4 linked regions of the Cricetulus griseus genome follow. The protein of the gene in region 1 interacts with the protein of each later gene in a pairwise test. Links are inferred from orthologs where the notes say so. Each region holds a gene or a part of one and is shown in the gene's direction. Other genes may lie near its edges.

Region 1 (4,146 bases):
GGAGGTCCTGGGAGGTGGAGACGGGCAGAAATAGTGAACTCTAGATTCAGTGACACAATATCCTACACTGGTACGTAGGCACACAGGGATATACTACATATAGACAAGTCCTTGAAATGAGGCAAATACATTTTTTAAATCATGGCAGAGCTGGGCATGGTGACACACGCGTTTCATCCCAGCACCTGGGAGGCAAGAGGCAGGTGGATCTACATAGTGAGTTCCAGGACAGCCAGAACTACTTGTGAGAACCTGTCTCGAAAAGATAAAACAAAGAAAGAAAGACTGGAAAGAGGTTGGGTAAGGGAAAGGAAGGTCAGGCTATTGCCGTAACCAGCAAGGGCCAGGCAAGGGAACCCTGGACACGCAGTCCTTTCCCGTCTAGTCCCGCCCTGAGACGTGGGCAACGCGAAGTCCCGCCCATTCGCCCCTTCCTGGGAGCCGGAGGCACACCGGCTCCTCCCTCAAGGCATGATCTTTGCTGGGGACCAAGACGGAAACTGGGTGGGGGACCTGAAGGGAAAGAGGGTCGGAAAAGGGCTGGCAGTGGGCCCTAGTGTCCTCTGCGCCCAAGTTCAAGTTTGCCAGTTTCTCGGGGGTTCCATTCATTTCGGGCCAAGACGACAGCTGCCCTCACCCCCACATTAGCGTAGCTTTGTGCAGGCAGGCTCCGGGGAAGCAGTGCCCTGAGTAGAGCGACCACCTGGAGGCCGCGGAGCTCATGGCCGGAGGGAGAGGGACAATTAACTTTATGTCCGGAAACCTTGGATGAATGTTTGAGACCATCTAACTGATGATGTGGGGAGCACAGGATAAAATTCTGCAAGTAGTAGGATTTGGAGGTTTGAGAAAATAAGTGGCGAGTAGGTTCTGAGAGGCGCAGATTCAGGGTCTGGGTGTTTAGCTACAGCTGAGGTGCGAGTGCACACTCAGGGATTCTAGAGGACCAGGTTGGATAGGGTCTAGGTGGCTAGGACAACATTTTGAATGAGGGCCCGGGGTCCCCAGGTGAATTTGGGGGCCAAACATCAAGGTCAGTGGCCCCGGGACCCAAGCGTTAGGGAACTCTGGCTGGGCGCCCGCAGGCGCCTCCAGGCGGCGCCGCGGGGGACCGGGTGGGGGCCTGTGGCCGGCCCGGGGTGGAGAAGCCGGGGGGTCGGGGTCCCTCCCCCTGGCGCGGGCTCAGGAATCCGCCGAAGGGCGGGCGGAGGCGCCGGGGTGGGCCGCGGCGGGCGGGCGGGCGGGCGGGCGGGCGGGCGGGGGCGCTTCCTGGGGCCGCGCGTCCAGCGAGCTGCGCGGTCCGGTCCGTCCGTCCGCCCGCAGGCACTGCCGGAGTCAACGAGTGAGTGGCCGCCAGCGGAGGGAGGGCGCGGGCCGTGTCGCGGCCGGGTCCGCGCTACGCCAAGCCGAGAGGCCTGCGCTCCACGACTCGCGGGGCGGGGGCGGGGCGGTCCGGGATTGCGGGCCTGCGAGCCCCAGGCCTGCGAAAGGACTCGGCCCCCAACTCTGGAAGGCTCCGGTGCTCCCAGCACAGTTCTGAGACAGCCGGGAATCCAGTGTCCCCTTCCTGATACAGGGAATGGGGGGTGTCGTGGCAGAGGCCCCTGACCCCTGCCCACTACCTCCCAGCCCCAGGATGCTCCCTTTTGCCTCCTGCCTTCCCGGGTCTTTACTGCTCTGGGCGCTCCTGCTGTTGCTCTTGGGAGCAGCGTCTCCACAGGATTCGGAAGAGCCGGACAGCTACACGGTGGGGACCAGCTTGGGATGGGATGGGATGGGATGGGATGGGATGGGATGGGATGGGATGGGAAGGACCAGGATCTTGGGGTGCCTGGGGAAGACTCTCCTCTGCTTGGTTGGTGGAAGACTGGGAGTCATTGTGTGAATTGACCCGAGCATAACTGAGCTCAGGCCCTGGCCTTGTTCTGGCTAGTTGGAGGAGACTTCCAGAGTGGTCACTGGCCACTTGGGGTCCCCTTCCAGGAATGTACAGATGGCTATGAGTGGGACGCAGACAGCCAGCACTGCCGGGGTGAGTATGCCTGGGATACTAGCCATTTTCAGGAACTGGGAAGGCAACTATTGTTTCCCAGGGATAACCTGGCTCCTAGACCAGCTGCAGGAACCTAATGGCCTTTTCACTGTCCAGCTTGGCTGAGCCAAAGCCAGCCACTCAATTAGGAGTCCTACCCCTTCAAGAAGTGCAATGAACTCTGCCTCTATTTGCAGTAGACAGGAGAGCACCTGGTGACTGCCCAGAGAAACGGAGATCTGCACACCTTCCGCCAACTGCCCTCTACTCTCCTAGCCCAGCTCTTTATCCCAGTGCAACCTGGGAGAGCAGTACACACTCTGTGGGTTTGGAGGCCTGCAAATTACTCTGGGGCAGAGGTAGAGGCAGGGTTTTGAGGAGGAATGGAAACTCACTTGGAGGCAGGAGAATAGGGACAACGGCGAAAATAGGTGGCCCTATCCCCAGTCCTGCAAATCACTGGGAGGGGTTCTGGGTCATCAGCCTTAATTTGCTGAGCAGAGAGAAAACCTTGCTCTGTTGCTCAGCTTAGAGAAGGCCAAGCTGGGATTCTGCCTCCCACTACCTCCAGGGCCAGCCCAGGTGACTGGCTGTGCCCAGCAGGCCCCTTTCTGCAGATGTCAACGAGTGCCTGACCATCCCCGAGGCCTGCAAGGGCGAAATGAAATGCATCAACCACTATGGGGGCTATTTGTGTCTGCCTCGATCTGCGGCTGTCATTAATGATCTACATGGCGAAGGCCCTCCACCACCAGTGCCCCCTGCTCAACACCCCAATCCTTGCCCACCAGGCTATGAACCTGATGAACAGGAGAGCTGTGTGGGTAAGTGGGAGCCATGCTGGCTGGCACCAATGCTTCCAGACCTCTTACATGTCTTTTTAAAATTAATTTTGTATTTAGTGTATAAAGTAAAAAGAAAAGTAAAAACCAAAAGAAAACAAAGGGGGGCGCTGGAGAGATGGCTTAGAGGTAAAGAGCACTGGCTGCTCTTCCAGAGGACCTGGGTTCAATTCCCAGCAACCACATGGTGGCTCACAACTGTCTGTAATTCTAATTCAGGGGACCTGGTACCCATGGCAAAACACCAATGCACATAAAATAAAAAAGTAAATTTAAAAATAAATAAAAGAAGCAAAGTGAAAGTTTTTAAAATCATGGTATCATTCTCCTGACACACTTCATATTTGTTCTCTCTCATTGTCCCTCCCTAGCACCTTGTTCTTCGAGATAGGATTTCTCTGTGTAGCCCTGGCTGTCCTGGAACTCACTCTGTAGTCCAGGTTGGCCTAGAACTTAGAGATCTGCCTGCCTCTGACTCCCTAGTGCTGAGTGCTGGGACTAAAGGTGTGTGCCACCACTGCAGGACTGTGTACTTTGTTTTTTGAGACAGAGTCTCTGGGTTTGATCCCCAGCACACACTTGTAATCCCACCACCAGGGAGGTAGAGAAAAGAAGATTGGAAGTTAAAGGTTACCTCAGTTGCATAAGGAGTTTGAGGCCACCCTGAGCTACATGAGAGCCTATCTCAAAAGCAGTAACTAACATAAATAAAGTAATTTTCCACACTAAATACCGCAGACCTCATGTTCCTTCCTTGCTGAGAGAAGCCTCTGGCTCCTCAGAGAAACATCTGAACCCTCACCTGCAGCAGGCCTGGTGCATGGTCTGCTGGCCCAGGAAGTCCCCAGCAGCTCCCTCACTTCCTGTGCAGACATGCTAGAGCTCTGCTCCCAGCCTCTTGCCAGCTCTTTATCAGGTCTCGGCCTTGGAAACCGCTGGCTTTGGAGGAGGGAAGATCCTGGTCTAGAGTCAGCTGAGGGTGTGAATGGACAACGCCTCATTTATTTTTAAGCCAGTTCTAGCTGGCTTGGAACTCTATAGCTCTGGCTGGCTTGGAACTCAGAGGGATCCTCCTGCTTCTGCCTCCTGGGTGTTAGAATTAAAAGTGTGTGCCACCAGACCTGACAAGGCCTTGTTTTATATGCTCAGCTAATGGGTGCTTTTCCTGGTGGACTGTTTTCTTGTGCTGTTGGGAGGACCTATATCCTATCTTCATATTTTGGTGCCAGCTACCCATGTGCCCATGTGAATGAAGTCTGGTGTGAGCCACCT
Region 2 (4,084 bases), about 220 Mb from region 1:
CGTCTTGCAATTTACACCGCCGCCGCAACTCTGACCCAGATTTCAAAGGGCTCTGCTAAGACGTGTTTATGCAACAGCAGTTAATCACGGAAAAGGGTTCGATGGCCTAAGAGCAAAAATATGGGATGTCTTTGCGTATTTGGGTCACGGTGCTCTGTCAGCGCTCACCTTGGTGCAGCACCAGCTAGTGTGCCAAGTGCCACAATGTATCGCAAGTTATGGATGGCGTGGGGGTCACGGCTGAAACGGAAATAACTTAACTGGACCTACGTTCTCCACTGGGGTTACCCCGGAGGGCACCTCGGGCCTGGGGGGGGGGGGGCGCAGTAACTTTGGACCGCGTCCTGGAGGCGCACACGAGCCCCAGGCTGCAGCCCACCCGTGGAGCGGCCCGCCCTGGGCACCCGCGTCTGCCGCGCACAGCGTGGAAGGCGGAGCAGGGCGGCCGTGTGTCCGGCCTGGCTCCGGGGACGGGGCCGCGGCCTCCCTGCACCCACGCCTGCGGGCTGTGGGCCCCGCGCTGGCGCTGGCGCTGGCGCTGCCCCGCGTCCGTTCCCGTCTCCGCGCCCGCCCGCGGTGGCGCAGCTCCAGCGGGGCCCAGAGCCGGGCGGGCGGCCCCAGCCCCTTCCGCCCGGGCACACGCTGCGCTCCTCAGAACCAAGTGCCCGCGCGGGCCGCCGGCCACCGGGGCCGGGTCGGGGGACACCGGGAGCGCAGGCCCAGCGGGCCAGGCCGCTTCCAGCAAGTTCGCCGCCGGCCGTGACGTCATTTCAGGGCGCCGCGGCGGCGCCCCGCAGAGACCCCGGGGAGCGGCTCCCGACGCAGCGGGGGCGATGAAGCGAACCGAGTTAACTCGCTGTCCCCTTCCCCCTGCCGCCGCCGCGGCTGCCTTGGAGCCGGAGGAGCCCGCGCCCCTCGTCAGCCCGGCGGCGGCGCGCGGCGGCGGCAGGCGTGAGGCGGGCGAGGACTCGGCTTCCCGGCGTGCCCCGCGCCCCTGAGTCGGCGCGGCGGCCAGCGCGTTACCCAGCGTGCCCTGCGCGGCGCCGGCGACGGACGTGGGGGAGGTGCGGGAGGAGGAAGCGGCGGCGGCGGCGGCGGCGCGGCGACGCGGAGACGGCAGCCGAGCCATCGATCGCCCGCCCGGGCCCGCACCGCACCGCACCGCACCGCAGCCCGTGCCCGCGCGCCCTCGGCGGCCCCGCCGCAGCCCGTGCCCGCTCCGCTCCGCCGCGCCGCGCCGAGCCGGCCGCAGCCCGCAGGGTCCCGGTCGCCTGAGTCACCGCCATGGCCGAGAGCGCCGAGAGCGGCGGCCCCCCGGGCGCGCAGGACGCAGCCGCGGCCGACGGCGGCCCCGCGGAGCCCAAGATCATGAAGGTCACGGTGAAGACGCCCAAGGAGAAGGAGGAGTTCGCTGTGCCCGAGGACAGCTCGGTCCAGCAGGTGAGGCCCCGGGGCGCCGGGGCGCCGGGGCGGGGAGGGCGGCCGGGCCCGGCCCTGCGGGGCTCTGCGGGGCTCTGCGGGGCCGGGGGAGGGCGAGCGGCGGCCGCCGAGCTCCGGGCCTCGGCTCCTGACAAAGGAGCGGGCGGGCAGGGCGCGGGCGGCGCTCGCTCGGCCTCTGTGGCCCGGCTGGCGGGGCGGCGGGGCGGTGAGGTGAGGCGGGCGGGGCCCGGTGGGGGTCATTGTTTCACCTGCCGGCGAATCGCAGAGATTTGGGGGTGAGGAGCACGTGCAGGCTGCGTTCTGTGTTGTGTGTCCCCCCCACACCTTTCAGCCTTTTATTATATATACGCTATTATATATATACATATATATTTAAAATTGTGACGTGGAGATCGCTTTCAGTCAGCCTGGTGATAAGCTCACGCCCGAGGGAGAAAAGTCAAAGACTTTGATTCACGGACGACTCGCTGTTTCTGTCTCAATAACCTTCGTCATCGCCCAGCCGCTCGCCCGCTCGCCGGCTCGCCCGCCCGTCACGGGGCAGGTTATTGTTCGACTCCAGGGGGACGAGAGCCATACCTACCTGCCGGGGTGTTAGGTGGTTGCCGCCGGACGCAAGAAAACAGAATTGGTGTTAACGGGGAGTCTTACTAAACAAATAATCGCTTTAAATCCCGTTCAGGGAAAGCAAATTTTGCAGCTAATTAAGAGCCCCTGGTAAAAGTTAGCAGATTTATCTGTTTAGCACGTTCTAGAGCACTCGGATTGTTGACAGTCTCAACATCGTGGACGGTTTTGTGCGAGGACGCAATTAACAGGCACTGGAATGTGCCTTTAGGTTCTCTGAACGTTTATCTAGTTCCAAAGGTGAAGTCGTTTTTTTTTTTTTTTTTTGTTTTTGTTTTTTTTTTGTGAAACAGGAGGGTGTGTGGCATCAGCTGAGGGAACTACTGTTGACTGAATCACCATTCCTTGTTAACGCTGCTGTAAAAGGTTGAACGTCTTTGTGTTTTCCAGCATGTGTGTGCCTCACCCACGATTGACATTTTCCTGCACTTGCTGTGTTATGCGTCCCTTATTTCTAAAATACATTTTTAAGGTGTAAATACCGATATCGGTATCACCTTACAAGGCACGTAAGCCGTGTGCGTGTTAGTTAACTTGAAAACCACTGTTGTGGAAATTTATTCCACATAAATTTGATGTGCACGTGGGTGCCTTAGCCAGTTTTCACAAACCCATCTACACCTGTGCCAGCCAAGCACACAACTAGGTGTGGCCTGTTAGAGCTGACTTGAAAGCTTTTGTCTCACCTTCTCTTTAAAGAAGTCACTCTTTGTCACCCCCGTGGGGATTTTTTTTTCCCCCACCAGAGATTGATTTTGCCTGTCCAGAAGTTCACATACGCAGAGTTGTATATAATGAAATCTTTTGGGAAAGACTTTTTTTCTTTCCCTCTTCAGCATATTTTTGAGATTCATCCTTGTGAATGTTTGTACCCCTCCCACCCCAGATGTTTGCATACTAGGCACAGGCTCCACTCTACCACTGACCCATGTCCCCAGCTCAGTACCTAACTGCTCTGTGGTTTTCCATAGCATGCATATGCCACAATCTACTGTCCAGGGTCTTTCTCAATTGTAGTTGCTGTGAACAGTCGCATATAAATCATTTTGACAATATATGCCTTTATCTGCATTAGAATGCTTCTGTTTACTTTTTGAGTTTTGTTGTGGTGCTGTTTTGGTTTTTCAAGACAAGAGTTTCTCTGTGAAACAGCCTTGGGTGTCCTGGAACTCTATAGTCCAGCTCAGAGATCCACTTGCCTCTGCCTCCCTAGTGCTGGGATTAAAGGCCTGTGCCAGCATGCCCTGCTATTTTGTTTGTTTTATTTTGAGACAGTGTTTCATTATGTAGCCCCAGCTGTCCTGGAACTTGCTTTGTAGACCAGGCTGACTTGGATCTCACAAGTGCTGGGATGGATTGAGGGCTTGCGCCACCTCATCTGGCCAGTTCTGTTTAGTTTTATAAGACACAACCAACAGCATATGGGTGTGTATTTCTCTTGTTCTGTATCCTTGCTAATATTTGCTATGTACAAGGTTTTTTTGTTTGTTTGTTTTTATTTTTTATTGTAGCTGTTTAATGAATGTGTAGCGATAATAAATCATGAAGCTCTTGAGTCTAAGATTCCCAGCTTAAATTTCCATCCTGACAGCTTCCCCATTTTATTTCAGGACTTTAGAAATATAATAAATGAAAAAATTATTTATGTGAAGATTTGTAAGATTTTTTTTTAAAGAGTGACACTAAAGTTTTAAATTCCGTAGAAGTTTATATTTCACTATGCTGTAACTAAAAATGATTTAATGGGTAAAAGTAAAACCTTCCTAAAGTAACTTACTCTGATATTGCTTAATGTTTAAAGCTTTCTCTGTTTTCTGTGGAAACAGAAAATGTGATGAAAGTTGAAAGCTTACCCCTGTACCACAAACGGAAAACACATCAAACTGCTGAGTGAGTCAGGGGAGCAGACTTAGAAACATGTACAAAAAAAATATAAAACTATTTGTAGCACAAGACAAGGTCTACCATTTTGTAACTTAATTTTTCTTATAGAATTTAGTAGGTTTGATATTTACTA
Region 3 (4,029 bases), on another chromosome or scaffold:
TCATCAACAGCACCTGGGAGCTTGTTAGAAATGCAGAGTCCTGGGTCCTACCCAAGACCATAGAATCAGAATCTATATTTTAATAAAGTGCCTTGCTCTTCTATACTGAACTCTCTGAGGACTTGTGTCTTGAATCTTTATGACTAGCAAAGGATCTGGCACATATCAGGTTAAATCCATATAAGTAGCAACAGAACGAAGGGCTAAAAACAGGTGCAGAAACAGTGAAAAACGTAAAAAAAAAAAAAAAAAAAAAAACTTCATGGTGATCATGACTATGGAAAAGGAAAACTGGGCTACAAGGAGTCTATTTGCCCCCCCCCCTCTTGAGTGTGCACCCCTTCCCAACATATCTGCCTATCTAGGCAAAAGATGTGAAAACAACTGCGTAATGCAAAGGCTTGGAAATCCAATTTTCCATGTCTCCTGCCTTCACAGCTGTAGATGTGAGAATCAGGGTAGAAAATACAACAATTTCTGTTTAGCAACACACCTTGAAGGCTATGTGTCAGATACTGTATGAACGATGTTTCATTTAATCTTGAAAAAACCCGTGGAATAATTATCATTCTCATCTTACAGATGAGGAAAATGAATTAAGTGGCTGTCCAAAGTCACATTTAGTTCAATAGAACTGGGATTGCAGCTAGTCAGTTTGGCCTCACAATTCACAACACATTGCCCTAGGTACTACTGTCTTACAGGTGGGAAGAGTGAAGACCTGAGAGGCTAAATCACTTCCTGGAGGTCACGCAGCTAGGAGACTATTAGGACCAGATTTAGAAACCGGCACTCTGTTTCAAAGGCGCACTCCGGACTCTAGCTAAGGCAATGGAACACAGGCTAGAGGCTTGAAAGTGTTAACCGGATCAGACGTCCAGGCTTATAAGGGCCAGGACCCACCCCTCCCTGGGCCCTCCTCCAAGCTAGACTGCAGTAGGCCACTTTCTGACTCCTACCTCCGACATTGGGGGACGGAGGTCCTAGGGGCCTCAGGCAGAGCCCGGCTTTGCTCCCCTTTGGTACAAGTCCCTGCGTCTTGACCCTTCCTGAAGGCCAAGTGGGAACCCTCAGCGAGATACAGAAACCATTCCACCCCCCAGCCGGGCCCCTGCCTCTCACTTCCGGGTCCCCATAGCCTCTTGCTGCCTCTTGTTGCTAGGATACAGAGGGCCGTTACTTCGGCGCGGACTGATGATGTCACCGTGGCTTCCGGTCCCTGGCCCTTTGCTCAGGCCCGAGCCTGATCAGTGAAGAGTCTTCTGTACTGGCAGACCCTGGGCTCGGTCCCGGGCGACGGAGGGTAGGATCAGCCAGAGGTGGGCTCGAGTCCCGCACCTCCTGCGCAGCCACCCCATGCCCGACGGGCGTGAGAGCGGGACCTGGCCGAAGGTGTGCCGGGGTTGAAAGAAGCGGCCTGGTAAGACGCAGCGTGGCTTGACGCTTTGAAGCGCCAGAACTCAGCCTTCTTAGCGCTGGAGTCGCCGGGGCCTGTTTGCTTTAAGACGTGAATCTCGGTTCCAGGAGCTGGACCTGAGCTCTCCGTATTGGTACCCCAGTGGCTCTCAGGATTGTTCTTGACCCTCGACCTGCTGTTTTCATTCCAGCATGCTCCGCTGGGCCCCCAGCCCATTGCCTGGAAGAGCCCACTCTCCCTGGAAGAAAGACCATCCTTGAAGAGGATGACTGAGACGTTATGGGCCACGCACTGTGTGTCTGCTCCCGGGGAACTGTCATCATTGATAATAAGCGTTACCTCTTCATCCAGAAATTGGGGGAGGGGTGAGTGTTTGGAAGTCACTTAGCTAGTCCCAGGTCATTTAGGGACAATAGTCAGCATGTGATAGAGACGCTAGAGTATTAGCCTTAGATTCTACCTCACCCGACTTAGTTGAATGGGTCAAGAAAGTGGAATCTGTACCCTGGCCTTCTGGATCCACCTTGTGTGACCTTAAGTAAATGGTTTCTTTATCTGCTTAATAGAGATTTCTCATTGAGGGGCTGGTGAGAACTGTGATAGTATATTTTTTAAAACATGTCACCCCGTGACTGGCTCATAAACACCTGATAGATGTTTGTTGCTACTTGATATTAATTGAATGTCTTGTACTCAGACCATGGAACCTCAATGATTTCTGTGTCCCTGCTCTTGAGGAGCTCAAACCCTAAATCTTGAAGCTATATGAGAGCCACATCTTGGGAGGGTTTCTCCTCCATGTGAGAGGCATGGAGTAGAAATTCCCTCCCCAAGGGAATGCCTCTGGGTCCAAGCCATGTGGGAGATGACCATGGTCCTTCACTGACCCCTTTGGCCCACAGTGGGTTCAGCTATGTGGACCTAGTGGAGGGGTTACATGATGGACACTTCTACGCCCTGAAGCGAATCCTGTGTCATGAGCAGCAGGACCAGGACGAGGCCCAGAGAGAGGCGGACATGCATCGCCTCTTCCACCATCCCAACATCCTTCGCCTCGTGGCTTACTGTTTGAAAGAACGAGGTGCTAAGCATGAAGCCTGGCTCCTGCTACCCTTCTTCAAGGTCAGAAAGGCTGCTGGTTACAGAGGGGATTGTAATAGATTTCACAGTCCTCCCAAGGGCTCTGTGGGTAGTCATACATAAACACGATAGGATCACATGTCCTGGTTTGGGCCATTTTAAATTTGGGGCTTATAGGACCAATGGGTCCAATATGAATTCGACATCCCACAGAGCCCTGGATGACCAGTATCCGACCTTGACACAGAATAGAAATGAGTCCCAGGTAGTAGGGACTTTAAAAAACTTCTCAGCACAGGAAAATTTGTGTTGTAGAGAGGTACACTGTGGAATGAGATAGAAAGACTGAAGGACCAAGGCAACTTCCTGACTGAAGACCAAATCCTTCCGTTGTTGCTGGGTATCTGCAGAGGCCTTGAGGCCATTCATGCCAAAGGTTATGCGCACAGGTCAGTGGGAGGGCCCTATGCACTTATTGGCACCCAGGCGATGAGCTGTGTCAAGAGAATTGGGATATGTCTGCATTCTCCCATGGTGCTCCCTGGGATCCCAGCTTCCCTGTCCAGGATGCCCTCGGGTCATTTTCACTTCCCTCCAGGGACCTGAAGCCCACCAATATTTTGCTTGGTGATGAGGGGCAGCCAGTTTTAATGGACTTGGGGTCTATGAATCAAGCATGCATCCAGGTGGAGGGCTCACGCCAGGCCCTAGCTCTACAGGTAAGAGAGTCTCCAGGTTCCTTTGTCATTTTCCCCCCATCCCCAACTCATTCTGATGCATGCACCGATTTGGTCACATGATATGGCTTGTGCTCCACTTTTGAGCTCTGGGGACACTGTTCCAGGACTGGGCAGCCCAGCGGTGCACCATCTCCTACCGGGCACCTGAGCTTTTTTCTGTGCAGAGCCACTGTGTCATCGATGAGCGGACTGATGTCTGGGTGAGAAGCACGTGGGCAGGAACTTGGGTGGAGAAGGGTGTGGCTCTGTAGTCACTATGGAGCAGAGGGAAGGGGACCTTTGGTTTCTGTTGCATGGGACCCCAGAACCACAGTATGTCTCCATAGTTCTCCACTTCCTTCCTGGGAACCATCAGTGATACTGTTCTCAGGAAGTGGTGTCATCTCTGTGGCTGAACTGGGTCAACTGCTGGAGGCAATAGCTAAGCAGGGGCTGAAGAGGCCTCCTGCAAACACAGTTCCTTTGGGTGAGGTTGGCATATTTTTAGCTTAAATGGTCTCCTTTTACCATAGCAATAAATGGGATACCATTTTTCCTCTTCCAGAAACTAACCAAATTATGCTCAGTCCCTAGGCTGTGTGCTTTATGCCATGATGTTTGGGGAAGGCCCTTATGATATGGTGTTCCAGAAGGGTGACAGTGTGGCTCTTGCTGTGCAGAATGAACTCAGCATCCCACAAAGCCCCAGGTGAGCAGCAGGAGGGACACTAAGCACTGTAGACTATTGCCTAGAGCCAGCCAAGTTGGAATTTTAGCAACCTTAGTCTAGGCGTCCTCCTCCAGTCCTCTGCC
Region 4 (3,971 bases), on another chromosome or scaffold:
ATGTAGTTTTAAGAAATAGCATATTGGCTTGGTGTGGTGGTGTAGGACTTTAATCCCAACACTCAGAAGGCAGAGGCAGGGGGATCTCTTAGTTGGAGTTCCAAGTCAATCTGGGTTACACAGACTGTTTCAAAAACAAACCAATCCAAAACAAGCAAACAACCCCTCCTGCCAAGACCCACAAAAATATATTTTGAGGATATTCTGTGTCTGTCATCACAACCCTCTTCCTACTATGAGTTGAATTAACTGCATAGAATGCAAATACATCTTTAAATTGCAATGTTTTCTGTAAATGCAAAACAAAAAGATGTAAAAATTAAAATCGTAAGAACTTTTAAAGGTGTACTTTCTCCCTTCCTTCACTCTTAAAATTCTTAATCTAAAACCTATTTTGGTTTCATAGTTGACCTTACCTGTAGTGTTTAATTAAAACAATACAAAACAAAAAAACCCTTCAGTATATATTTTTCATCCATCCCTCTTTCTTGCCTTCAACTACAAAGAAACAATGATTTAAGCCCTTTGTGCCCTTTTAGAAAATTACACAGATACCCCATTGTGGAACCCTATAATCCCTCCGTGGAAAGGAAGAGATTAGCATATGAATACAAAGCAAAATGAATCCAGAATACAAAAACGATCTATCGAGTTGTGAAGGTTTTGTATTCTTAAAATTGAATTTATTTCCTCTTTTGTATTGCCCCTTTCGTGGCCTAAGGGTTAAGGAAATTGAGCTTCCCCCTCTGCTCTGGTTACCCGGAAAAGGATTTAAAAAAAAAGAATCCAAAACCACACACACACACACACACCCCAACAGATTCTAGGAGGTGCAAAACCAACAGATGGCTCCTAGCGCCAGTAATCGTCCGTGGAATCTGCTACACTCGAAATCAGCTTGCTTGCCTGTGAGGAGTGTAGAAAGTGCTGTTCGCTAACTGCGTGGTGAAGGAGAGAAAGCGATAGAAGAGAGAGCCATAATGCTGACGTTGAAGGCCCGGCCCTGTGAGGTTGCATAGGGTAAGTGGCGTTGGCCAGGCGGCGGCGGCGAAGGGGAAGGGAAGAGGATTTGGGCTAGGGGCGGGGCTTGACGCGCAGCGTGGCTCCTGATTGCTGGAGGGCTGCTGCCAATCTTCCAGATCCGCTCGCTTAACCAGTGCGCTGGCGAGACGCGCTCAGATATACTGAGCGAGCGCTGAGAAGCAGTCTCAGATCCTGACGGTGCAGCAGCCTGCAGCCTCAGCCAGGGAGTCCCAGCCGCTTTCAATGGAGGAGAAGCCCGGCCAGCCACAGCCTCAGCACCATCACAGCCACCACCATCCGCACCATCACCCCCAGCAGCAGCAGCAGCAGCAACAGCAGCAGCAGCAGCAGCAGCAGTCGTCGCATCACCATCACCATTATTATTTCTACAACCACAGCCACAACCACCACCACCACCACCATCACCAGCAGCCTCACCAGTACCTGCAGCATGGAGCCGAGGGCAGCCCCAAGGCCCAGCCCAAGCCGCTGAAACATGAGCAGAAACACACCCTTCAGCAGCACCAGGAAACGCCGAAGAAGAAAACAGGTCTGGGAGGGAGGGCGGTGGGGGAAGGGGGGCTGGGGCTGGGGGGCCGACGAGGGGATGGGGGTGGGGCTAGATGTGAAAAGCGCGGACCCGGCCGGGGTGTGCGTCCCGCGGGGCCTGGGATGCCCCCTTTCATTCTTCCCGGGCGCGGGCCGCGAGGTGGGGATTGCAGCGCCCTCTCCTTCCCTTCAGCATGGGAGAGGCCCAAGCAGGCCAGCGTGACCTTCCCCGGCCCCCGCCCCGGCTGGAGGCAGACCTCTCTCTACGGTCGGCTTTGGAAGTCCACAACCTTATTTTTTTTCCCCCCTCCTCTTCTACGGCCCCGGAGTTGCCGGAATGTGGGGGGCCCTAAGAAGGGATCAAACTCGGCCGCCCGCAAAAAAAAAAAAAAAAATTCCCTCGAGGTGTATGTAATTCCGGCGGGCCTAGTGAATCCCGGCTCGGGTGGTGTCGCGAGACCCTCTTGCAGGCAGCGAGGAGCCGGGCTGAGGGCTGAGTTGAGGAAGCGTCCTCCCTCACCCGCCACCCAAGCCCACCTGTGGCCCTGGGGTTTGCTGTCTGGGGGGGGCGGCTGGGACCCCTTCTCCCCTCGAGTCATTTCACCCCTAAACGCCCCTTCCGGGCGCCGGACCCTGCTGTCTCTCCTCGAGGCTTCTCCGGAGGCCGGCGCCCCTGGCCCGCTCTCAGAGCCGGCGAGGCTGGAATGTTCTCTCCTCCTCGCGGGGCCGCTTCCTGTCCGCCATGTTGGAAGCCGATTCCTGTCACCGACTCGGGCCGGCTGAGGAGCGGAGGGGGGAAGGGTGCCCAAGGCCACACTGCACTCTGGGACCGAAGGCCCGGGACCCTCGGCGGCCATCGCCGGGTCCCCCGCACTGCGGGCGGCCGGCGCCCGCCGCCCCTCCCCCGCCTCGGTTTGGTGGCGGTTGGGTGGGGGAGGGAAGCGGCCACGAGGGGAGCGGCCTGCACCGTGGACCCGCGCGCCGACGGCCGCGTTTCCCGCTCCCGGGTGCGGCGGGAGGCGCGGGCGGCCCGGCCGGGCGGGGAGCCGGCCTAGAAGAGGAGCTTGAGGGGGAAGGAGGCCCGGGCGGCGGCCACGGCGTTCCGCTGGCCTTGGAGGGGCGAGGTGGGGGACTCATTTTCGGTAGAGGCGGTGCCTGAGGCCGGGTGGGGTACCCAGCGGGAACCAAGCTCCCGGGTCACGAGTTTCTCTGCCACAGGAATCTCATCTCCTGCCAGGTTCGCTCACGACTCCGCCTCAGCGGCTTTCACTTAGGCCTTTTTTCTTTCTAGCAGCGCCTTTCCTACCAAAAGAAGGGAAAACAACCTCTTAAACCTTGTTCCATCTGATTTCCACACAGCACCTAAACTTCTGGGCATGGGTAGTGGCTGCAGGGATTAGTCAAATACTTGATTTGGATGGACAACAGAGACAGTTTGGGTCCCCTATTATCTGGAAATGGCTTGTCCGTGAGGTTGGGTCAATACCATCTTACCTTGGACAATACTTTATGGTGATATTAAAGTGAAAGACATTTGCTGCATTTTAAAACCGATGTCGTTACCCAAACTGAATTTTATTTAACATGTTAAACGTAAAAGTCTTGAGGAAATACTTAAGAAATAAATGTCAAAATTTATATATTCGCAGATTAAAAGTTTATAAACTGAAGAGTAGTGAAGGGAATACTTGGAAGAAAAAATGTTAAACTCAGCATGTCATTTAAGCATTCAAGCAGTCACTGGTGAAAAACTTACTGTAGACAATGTAACTTTGAAGACAGATGCCGGATATCAGATTTTTTTTGTAAGGTGCAGTAGAAGTTAAGTGCTTAATTGTAAGGATCTAGAGCAGCCTAGAAAACTTAGGAATTATGTAACACTGCATTTTGGTTTTCAGAAAGTGGGGAAGTATTAAGGTTGTCAAATAATGGTACTTTTTAGATTTTAAATTTGTTTTATGAGGTTTATGTATTCCCCACAGGACTCATCATTTACAGTGATGCAGACCCTGAACCGTTGGAAGTGACACCCCTCAAAATATGTCTTAAGTTGGGATGAAGAATAAGGAGGGAAACTGTTGAGGGTTTGGGGGTGATCTGTCTTTCATGTATGTTTTGGTCACACAGTACTGTTGCTTCAATGGCTTTTTATGACCCATTACTCCCAAATCTTTGAGAAACTAGTTTTTTGAATCCAGAAGAGGGCACAAGAGAAGACAAAATGTGTTGAGTGGGTTGCAGTGGCAAATCCAAAGCTAGATTTGTCAGGACTCAAGTTTTGACTGAGTCCATTTGAAGTTGAGTTTGCATGGCAGCCCTAAATAAATGCTACAGATTTTTAATTTTTCAGGAATAACTACAGTCTTGACATTTTTCTTAAATGTTTAAGCTTTTAAAAA

The links. The genes of interacting proteins can lie anywhere in the genome.
Region 2: the proteins of Efemp2 (region 1) and Ubqln1 interact in binary tests that used the Homo sapiens proteins (3 or more experiments, as listed by UniProt). The link is inferred for Cricetulus griseus from reciprocal best matches to the Homo sapiens genes EFEMP2 and UBQLN1.
Region 3: the proteins of Efemp2 (region 1) and Stk16 interact in binary tests that used the Homo sapiens proteins (3 or more experiments, as listed by UniProt). The two-hybrid records come from large-scale screens. The link is inferred for Cricetulus griseus from reciprocal best matches to the Homo sapiens genes EFEMP2 and STK16.
Region 4: the proteins of Efemp2 (region 1) and nuclear fragile X mental retardation-interacting protein 2 interact in binary tests that used the Homo sapiens proteins (3 or more experiments, as listed by UniProt). The two-hybrid records come from large-scale screens. The link is inferred for Cricetulus griseus from reciprocal best matches to the Homo sapiens genes EFEMP2 and NUFIP2.

What each region holds. Positions count from the first base shown.
Region 1 is NC_048596.1:53,864,090-53,868,235, reverse strand, and holds the start of Efemp2 (EGF-containing fibulin-like extracellular matrix protein 2 precursor), read left to right. Parts: upstream 1-1,346; 5' UTR 1,347-1,636; coding exon 1,637-1,747; intron 1,748-1,983; coding exon 1,984-2,032; intron 2,033-2,649; coding exon 2,650-2,856; intron 2,857-4,146. UniProt on the Homo sapiens protein: Plays a crucial role in elastic fiber formation in tissue, and in the formation of ultrastructural connections between elastic laminae and smooth muscle cells in the aorta, therefore participates in terminal differentiation and maturation of smooth muscle cell (SMC) and in the mechanical properties and wall integrity maintenance of the aorta.
Region 2 is NC_048596.1:277,235,694-277,239,777, reverse strand, and holds the start of Ubqln1 (ubiquilin-1), read left to right. Parts: upstream 1-1,284; coding exon 1,285-1,440; intron 1,441-4,084. Other genes in the region: translation initiation factor IF-2-like, read right to left, coding at 257-994, 1,038-1,286. UniProt on the Homo sapiens protein: Plays an important role in the regulation of different protein degradation mechanisms and pathways including ubiquitin-proteasome system (UPS), autophagy and endoplasmic reticulum-associated protein degradation (ERAD) pathway.
Region 3 is NC_048595.1:428,365,353-428,369,381, forward strand, and holds the start of Stk16 (serine/threonine-protein kinase 16), read left to right. Parts: upstream 1-1,229; 5' UTR 1,230-1,420; intron 1,421-1,607; 5' UTR 1,608-1,696; coding exon 1,697-1,782; intron 1,783-2,319; coding exon 2,320-2,539; intron 2,540-2,812; coding exon 2,813-2,946; intron 2,947-3,095; coding exon 3,096-3,216; intron 3,217-3,341; coding exon 3,342-3,437; intron 3,438-3,803; coding exon 3,804-3,925; intron 3,926-4,029. UniProt on the Homo sapiens protein: Membrane-associated protein kinase that phosphorylates on serine and threonine residues. In vitro substrates include DRG1, ENO1 and EIF4EBP1. Also autophosphorylates. May be involved in secretory vesicle trafficking or intracellular signaling.
Region 4 is NC_048600.1:91,081,928-91,085,898, forward strand, and holds the start of nuclear fragile X mental retardation-interacting protein 2, read left to right. Parts: upstream 1-1,171; 5' UTR 1,172-1,266; coding exon 1,267-1,573; intron 1,574-3,971. UniProt on the Homo sapiens protein: Binds RNA.